Drosophila melanogaster: one gene and its partner. The protein of the gene in region 1 purifies or fractionates together with the protein of each later gene. This does not show direct contact. Each region holds a gene or a part of one and is shown on either strand. Other genes may lie near its edges. The genes, in order: Mondo and bigmax.

What was found.
Region 2: the proteins of Mondo (region 1) and bigmax purify together in Drosophila melanogaster (affinity purification with western blotting, with the first as the bait; one study listed by BioGRID). This does not show direct contact.

What each region holds. Positions count from the first base shown.
Region 1 is NT_033779.5:21,306,911-21,312,003, forward strand, and holds the start of Mondo (mondo), read right to left. Parts: upstream 3,141-5,093; 5' UTR 3,029-3,140; exon of another isoform or gene 2,029-3,028; 5' UTR 1,878-2,028; coding exon 1,378-1,877; intron 1-1,377. Other genes in the region: crc (cryptocephal), read left to right, coding at 4,965-5,093.
Region 2 is NT_033777.3:27,286,785-27,290,481, forward strand, and holds bigmax (bigmax), read right to left. Parts: upstream 1,743-3,697; 5' UTR 1,686-1,742; coding exon 1,544-1,685; intron 1,402-1,543; coding exon 1,001-1,401; intron 936-1,000; coding exon 714-935; 3' UTR 582-713; downstream 1-581. Other genes in the region: CG3368 (uncharacterized protein), read left to right, coding at 1-531; Hmu (hemomucin), read left to right, coding at 2,146-2,261, 2,331-2,536, 2,596-2,896, 3,233-3,697.

The DNA of each region.
Region 1 (5,093 bases):
GAAATTTAAAATTATGAAATAATATCCAACAATTTTTCAAAAATGTGTGCGTGCCAGTTTTGTGCGGTTTTAGGGCGTTAGAATAGGCGTGGTAAAAAGTTTTGTTGTAAATGGATAGAAATGTACAAGACTAATTAAAAAATGAAAAAATTATTCAAAAATGTGGGCGTGGCAGTTTTGGGCGGTTTAGGGCGTTAGAGTGGGCGTGGAAAACAATTTTTTTCCAAATCGTTAGAAATTTACAAGACTAATAAAAATGTGAAAAAATATGATCACGTTTTTCAAAAGTGTGGGCGTGACAGTTTTCAGCTAGTGTTAGAGTGGGCGTGGCAACATGGCTAAACAAAGTTGCGGTTTTAACTTGGCTAAACTTCTAGATTTTATAGGGTTCCTGAGATCTCGACGTTCAGGCGGACATGGCTAGATTGACCCAGCTATAGATCCTGATCAAGTCGGAAACGCCCGTTGCATACTTTTCAACTAATCTAGTATCTAGAATCGTAGAGTAGAAGCGTATAACAATTACGTTGTTCTCTCTTTTAATATGTTATTTAGACAAAAAAAGCGTTTGGAAATGTCTTTCCATCGAAACTTAACACCATCAAAACAACCGGCGGGCGTGCAAAATGAAGCATGTTATAAATTTAAATTTATATTTTTCCTCGTGTATATTGTAGTCGCTAAAGCGCATCCAGGAGAACGCACACTCTCCTAGAGCACTTAGTCACTTAGTGAAAAACAACAATGAAATCACATGGTCGTGAAAAATGTAAGGAAATCCGAATTCGTAGTTATTAACAATACGCGTATATATATGGATCATACAAACAACTACCGTAGCTGTTTTATAGTGACTAAAAACCATCATTATAACAAACAAATTTAAAATTTAAAACTGTATAACACTTTTTTTAAACAAATCCTTTTCGTTCTTTAAAAAAAAACAAAAAACAATAGCTTCACAATTCAGATTTTTAGTTGATAAGGTCTCAGATAATAATATGTTGTAAGCAAATTGCATTTCATTTTGCAAAATTAATTCATTCTGATATTGCTTTGGCAATACTTTAATATTTTCTCTATGATTGCGCTGTCGTTTGCAGAAATGGGAGAAGTAACAGAAAGAGGGGTATAAAGGGTGGCAGAGGAGCGATTGAGGCAATGTGGGGCCAAAGTAACCTGAGCAGCGACGTCACGTCTCAACATGTGCCGCGATTATGGGACCGAAGCGGTCCAAGCTTTTTCGTTTGCTGGATTTTCGTTGGCCAGTTGAGCGTTATCACGCTCGAAACGCGTGAACAAGCGGGAAACAACATTTCATAAATCTTCAGGGCCCCGGTGTTCGGTTGTGGTCTCGAGTACGAGTCTTCAACTCACCTGTAGGCCAGATTCATGCACTTGAAGAGTTTGGTGAGCGAGGTCTCTATCTCCAGGTGGGAGGTCACCATGCTCATGCTGCTCTCGTCGCCCTCCTGGTCCATGGCGCTGAAGTGGGCCACTGTTTGGGGTACGTAAAGCTGCACGTCACGACATGTGTTGGTTGGCTCGCCCGGCTTGCCCAGACCGGGGTCCTCAGGGTCTAGCATCTTCACCTCGCCGTCATCCTCTAGGTCGTCCTGCGCCTCCTCTGCCTCGAAGTGCGAGACCATAAACTGGCCGGAGTGGATAGACTCCCGCTCCGCCTTGAGCAGGTCTGCCGTAGCCTCGGCGGACCCTGACGCCGAAGCACCTACTCCCGTTTCGTACTGCAATTGCTGGAAGTTTTGGCACAGAGACTGTTGCAGATAAGGCTGCTGGTGCAGCTGAGGCAGCTGGTGCTGCTGGTGGGGAAACATTTGGCTTGTGCGTTGGTATCCCTCGTGTTTATTCAGCATCATTTTCAACAGGTGCCAGGGGATGCCTATGCAAATAGTTTACTGTTGAGCCAAAATTTTGGCGGTTGCAGATTATGTCGATATGGCGAGGGCACATTTAATGGTTTTTTAATGTCTCTCGCGTAGTAAAGGCTTTTAAAAGCTGGTGCTGACCCTTTTTTAATTTGGATGGGGTTTTTCCATCATTTCAAAATATGTAAACGTTCGCAGACTATAAAAAAAAATATGTTTTGTCTTGCCTCGTGGTTAACACATTTATTAATTCTCTCATCTAGTGTTTGTCCTTGTCATTCTATTAACTAAATTACTAAAATAAGCGATTATTTGATAGAGACATAGCACGGTTTTAAGATTTTGATTTGTTTACAATGCCCGACACCTTCAGCTTTTCGTCATCGACACCTGTCCAATTGTTGCTTTTTCCGGAGCGAAGCTTCTCTAATGGCAAACACGCCCCGCTTTTGCCGTTATATGCGTCACACAGCACAATAACAACAATTTTCGCACACACACACACACACACAATCGCGGCGGGGTTGGCTGGGGATACGGACGTCAGAACGAGACGTCAGTGGCCGCTTGTAGCTCCTTGAACAGATAGTGAAGCCCCAACTACTCGTAAACACACGCGGATCTGATGGAAGGCCAACAAGGCGGGCAGAACCAGCGCAGAACGATCGGTTTCATTCCACAAACAGAACTGATCGGAGAACGAAGCTGCGAAACGCACATAACCTGTGCGCCGCACACAACACAACAATGAACAGCTGACGCGAAATCTCTCTCTCTCCCTACCTCGCTAGCGTTGCTTATCAGCTAGGAAAACGTACATACATATGTATATGTATGTATGTACGTGTTCTTCTATATGCGCAGATGTCAGGCAGCAATGTTGTCCCCCTCTCCACTATTACTATATGGAGCTCAGTCGATTTGACTCCTGGCATTCGGCCTTGCCATCCAGAGTATGCACTCCACAAGCAGTTCTGTGTTTGCACTTTTGACCTCTGGCTCAGCGCTGCCTTTGCATTTTGCCTTTTTCCGTTCCCACTCATATACACGCGCATGCACGCGCACCACAATTTCGGTACAACTGCAACTGCCCCCTATAGCAGAAACACGGGCAGTTAGCAGGCACGACGGACTACCAATACCACGCACACACGCGCAACACAAAGCTTCTACGTAGTTTAATCACAATATAGCACACATTAACCTATTGCGGGTAGCGAGCCCTCACCATCCCATCAGGGTTGTCAAGCATTTGGTGGCTCTGATAAACAGCACCCTCTTCCTAAAAATGGCTGAAAGCTGCGAGCCGAAAAACGCAAGAATGAGCATAATCACCCCAAACGTAAAGATTGGGAAGGGCAGCATACGAGGTCATATGTTTCCTGCTCCGAAATTGCAATACAATGAATTTAGGACGGCTATTTCCCGTAATTAGTTTCCAGTTTTATGGAATTGCTATTATATCTTTTTCCGACAGCACCTTGAAACCGCATCAATAAAAAGTTAATGCGTTGAGACTAATAGGAAAAACTAGAATATATACATATATTATACTCAAATGTAATGTGTTTTTTAAACATTGTTGTGCTTAAGTAATTAGGAAAAATTATGTAAAATGGATATTTTCCCTTTATGTTCACTATATTGTTTAAGTTAGAGAATAGAATACCCAGAATAAAATTAGTGATCACACATCAAAAAACTATCGATAAACATTGAATTAGTTCCGGTTAAAATTTAATAATAAGTATTCAAACTGCACACCTTGTTACAAAGTAGTGTAACTGCCTAATTCTTTATCAGCAGACTAGAGGATTTCGCACTCCCATGTTCTTTTGCTTAAATACCTTTCTCGGGCTTATATTAGACATTATACTTTCAGAGAATTTTTTCATTTGTACTGTTAGAAGGTTCTTAATGAAATTGCTGTTCAGTTCAAAATTTTTATATAGTCATTTAATAATACTTTACGAATGATTTTGTGCGCTTTAGATTTGTGAGAAAAAGGGGTGGGATTATTTAGTAGAAAGTAGCAAGGCATTTCCCGATCTGGTAACACTGATTCCAACACTCATTACCGTTCCAAATGAAACGCAAAAAGGTTCAATTGTTATTTTCTCTCACGATTTCGGCATTTATATTAACCTAAAGATGGCTCTATAGTTTGCGCGCAAGCAAAAACAAGCAGCACCTAGGTGCCCAAACACAACAAAATGGAAACGTATAAAAATCAAAAGTGAGTATACACCAAGCTAAATTCTCGCTAATTTCGCAATTTATCACGCACACTGCCGCACTTGGCGTTCTACTCATTCATTGTTGCTGCACGTGTGTTGGTGGCATTGCCTTGTATGGATTTTCAATTGACCGGGCGAACGTGGCAAATCAAAACTCAGTGGGGCATGCCACCTGGTAAAGGTAAAGAAATTGGCTGACGCAATCGCCGACTGGAGTTGAGTAATGTGCGTTGCAAGTCGCCTGCACGTGCGAAAATGAGATGACTCACCACAGTAAGGACTACCCCAAGCGGACACAGCCCAGGACAGAGCTGTTTAAACCGGCTGCGCGATTGCAGCTCTACCCTTGCATTCTATATTTACCTAAAATGTTAAAACATAATTACTATATTACTAAGCTAGAGGGGAGAAAGAAGTTTTCAAAAAGAAAATTAAAATCAAAATTTGCGTGCTTAATCTCAACTTTTTTGGTGGTGGACACGGCAATATTGACTCTTGGTAATAAAATGTTAAAAATACATTTATCTTTCATAGTTTTCAATGAATGTAGTCTACCCTTAGATTAATTTGAATATAAGAGGTACAGTAAAATGATTAAAAGTGTTTTTAAAAGGGTAGCGACTATTCATTATCACTATGACTCGTGATAAGTCATTAAACAGCTGTGGGCTGAACAGCGAACCAATTAATCATAATTAATTCGTTTCTTTAATTCTCAGCGCCATCATGGCATTTTCACAACAACAAAACACACCGCGAAAACAACCATTCTCATTCTTCGGACCGGATTTCATACTCTCAAAACAAAACATATCTTTGACCCCTGATTTGAACTCTGGATATGGACGCGACATTTCACCAAACCATGGAGAGCTTGCAGTTGCCCAAGGAGCTGTACTGGGACCTCAAGATGGAGCCACAATCCCCAACATCGGTTTTGGGCTCCGATCTGTTTCCGCTCACTGACTCA
Region 2 (3,697 bases), on another chromosome or scaffold:
CCCAAGGCTTGCGAGCACATGCTGAGGTGCTGTGATCGCCAGGAGGTCACGTCATCCATCATACTCTTTCTGGCCTTCTTGTCCAAGGTCGAGCACTTGCGTACGTCGGGCGGGAAAGAGCCAAATCCCCTGCTCATTCGCTTCCGCCGACTCAGTTGGCATTTGTTGCGGCACAAATGTGATCAGGTCCGCCAACTGGCGGCCACCTGCTTTGTGCGGTCGCACGAATTCCGCTGCGATCTGCCGGCGGCGCTGCTGGCCAGCGCCAAGTTGGCCGCGAATCTGGAGGAGGAGAACTTCTACGAGGGACTGATTTACACGCTGACATCGGGCGTGCTGAAACTAAAGCACGAAGCACGTCATGTGTGGAGCGCGGGACGTCTGGAGGGATTCCTTGAAGCGCTGCTCACCGCGCTGGATGTCACTGAGCGAGTTCGTCGCTTCAAGCCGTACACACGGAATGTGCTGCTGGAACTGCTAGGCCAGCTGGGTAGTGCGGATAAAGCGGCTCTCGTCGAGTCTCTCGGCTAGCATTAGCAAATCTAGTTTTATCTAATCTTTAATCATTAAGCCAAAAAGTTATCTTTCCTTGTCAACGCTTTTACAACTATTCAAATGACGCATTTAATGTTTGTACGCAGTAAACGTAACGAAAGTATCTACCAAACAGGGATTTCTAAAATAACCAATGAGAATATGAACTAACCGCGCGATCAGCTGAAACCCTCGCTCGACTCCTGCTCCATGGCCTGAAGTTCCTGTTTTTCCATAGCCTCCTGCGCCATTTGCTGCAAGGTACGACTGAGTATGTTGCGCAGGATGTGCGGCTTGCAGTGCTCCTCCAGCCAGGGGATAATGCCGGTGGTCAGCTGCTTAAAGTTCTCCATGGGTATGTGTTGAAATGTCTCGAACATTTCCTCCATAATGGCCTGGAACTACGGAGGAGGGTGGTGGGTGGCGATTCTAGAGGTTATAATAGAGGTAAGCGCTCCATACTTACCACTTGAAACTTGGCCTCATCGGTGAGTCGTGCCTCCTCCGGCCCTGGATTCGCCTGCTGATGCTGTAGCATGTTCTCATAGCCGTTCTTAATGATCCGTAACGCTGTTACCTCCTTTTGTAGCGCCGATCCCTCGTCCTCCTGCTTGAGTTTCTGCTGGTTAAGGTAGCCAATGTATTCGATGGACTTCTGCAGGATCAGAGCCTTGCTGAGCTTGTAGCCGGAGGAGTCGTTGGGCTGGCAGCGCGGCACCAGCTCCTGCAGACTGTCGTAGCCCTTCTTAATGGCATCGCGCCGCTTCTGCTCCGCCTGGGTGTGCGCCTCCCTTCTCCGCTCCTTGTAACTCAGCGTGGAATTGGCGGCCGCGGAATGGCGCGCATCGCCGCTATCGTCGTCGTCGTCTGCGATACAGAACCGAAACATGAGTACAATGTAATAAAATGCTGCTGATAGCGAGTAATTCAATGCCACTGCTTTATCAGCTGCCCCCGCCCCGCACTCTTGACCGATCAGCGTGACCGATCTTGACCAGCGTTCGCCCACCTGAATTGTGCGCCGAGGAGTTCGGAGTGTGCGTGCTGCCCGCACTGCTGCACCGCGAGTAGTGCTTGCTGGTGTGGTCCTGGTCGTGCTCCATGCCGAAAACGTCTTCCTTGGTGGCCAACGCGTTGTTATTATCGCTCATCGTCAACTGCGACGTTTTGGAATTCCCAAAACAAAAACACTAGCAGCGGTGTGACTGTCGCAAGGTAGCGCGAAAAGCCTTCGGTATCTGATGGTCACATTCAACATTGTGCGATAGTTTTAAGGAATTTTTAAAACAGTTATCAGGTACCAGGCTAACAGGTACTTTAATTATGATGTTATTCAACCAACTATGCTTGTTATAATTTGCATCCCTAATAACATAGTTTTTAGAAACTGCATACAATTAATTTTTGTAGCAGAGTGTAAGATGTGGTACGTTCAATCAACGAATGATAGTCATATCGATATTTCGGCCACCTCTACCGGTCCGGATGATGACTTTTACGTTTTTTTCTTGTTGAACTTTGCCGTCGTGTCGCTTTCTTCGGGGTTATTGCTTAAATTTAGCGGGTTTTTGGGCTGTAATTTGTGATCGGCGGACGCACAAGGAATCAATCATGGGCCTGCTATATGCGCTGCGCGTGAGGATCATGAACTTCATGATTTTCTTCCTCCTCATCATCCTAATGCCCGGTCTGCCGCCGCGCACCACCTTCCCCTTCAAGGACTATATGTAAGTGCCGCCCGTTTCAATTGACGTAATTCCCGTGTTAATCCTTGGAGAAATCGCCACTTCGTACAGTGTGACCCCGCCCAAAGACCTGAAGGGTGCGCTGGAATCGAACTTTCACCTGGAGGGAGCGGAGCGACTGCTGGAGGGGCGGGTCTACGGCCCGGAGTGCCTGATAGCCCGCAACAACGAGATCTACACCGGCATCCACGGCGGTGAGGTCATCAAGCTAACGTCCAACCATGTCACGCATGTCACCAAGATCGGCCAGCCCTGCGGTGCGTATTTTCGAGTCCTATAAAGGGAATTTCATTTTATAATAGTAATCCCCTTGCAGAGGACATCTACGAGGAGTCCCGGTGCGGCCGTCCGCTGGGACTGGCCTTTGATACGCAGGGCAACAACCTCATCATCGCCGACGCCTACTACGGCCTGTGGCAGGTGGACCTGGGCACCAATAAGAAGACTCTGCTGGTCTCGCCCGCCCAGGAGCTTGCCGGCAAGTCCATCAACCGCCCTGCCAAGATTTTCAACGGCGTGACCGTGAGCAAAGAGGGCGACGTCTACTGGACGGACTCCTCGTCGGACTTCACCATCGAAGACCTCGTCTTTGCCAGCTTTGCTAACCCCTCCGGCCGGTGAGTTCATCGCAAATTATAGCGACACTGTCTAATATTGCTAGAATTCAAAGTGATAGCTATTCGGAATAGGGCTACAGTGGGACCCCATTACAATGTATTTCTTTATAAAACGTGTTTTGTGACCCATTTAAGATTATTTCAAATGTTTGTAGCGGAGGAATCGAGGGAGTCACTTAATTAATCTCAATTAAGAGTCCACGCTTACTGAAGTTAGCTTAATTCTTATAATTAAGGGACAAGTTACAGAAGTATGACTGTAAGACGAACGCAAACCGGTTTCTCGATCTGGTCTTATGGTTACTCTAACGGCCTTTGCTTTCTTCTACGTTCCAGTCTCTTCAAATACAATCGCTCGAAGAATGTTAGCGAGGTGCTGCTGGACGAACTGGCTTTCGCCAATGGATTGGCCCTCAGTCCCAACGAGGACTTCATCGTGGTAGCCGAAACCGGAGCGATGCGTCTGACAAAGTATCACCTGAAGGGAGCGAAGGCCGGTCAGAGCGAGGTGTTCGTCGACGGACTGCCCGGTTTGCCCGATAACCTGACACCCGACGCCGAGGGCATCTGGGTGCCATTGGTCCAGAGCGCGGATAGCGAGCATCCCAACGGCTTCACCCTGTTCACTCGCTTCCCCAGCGTGCGCCTGTTCCTGGCCCGCATGCTGGCTTTGTTCGAGCTGCCCTTCCGCTACTTGAACAGCGTATATCCGAACAAGTTCTCGCAGCGATTCGTTCACTTCGTGGGACACATGGAGAGCATCACTGTGCTGGCGCCCAAGCGAACGACTGTCGTGCGTGT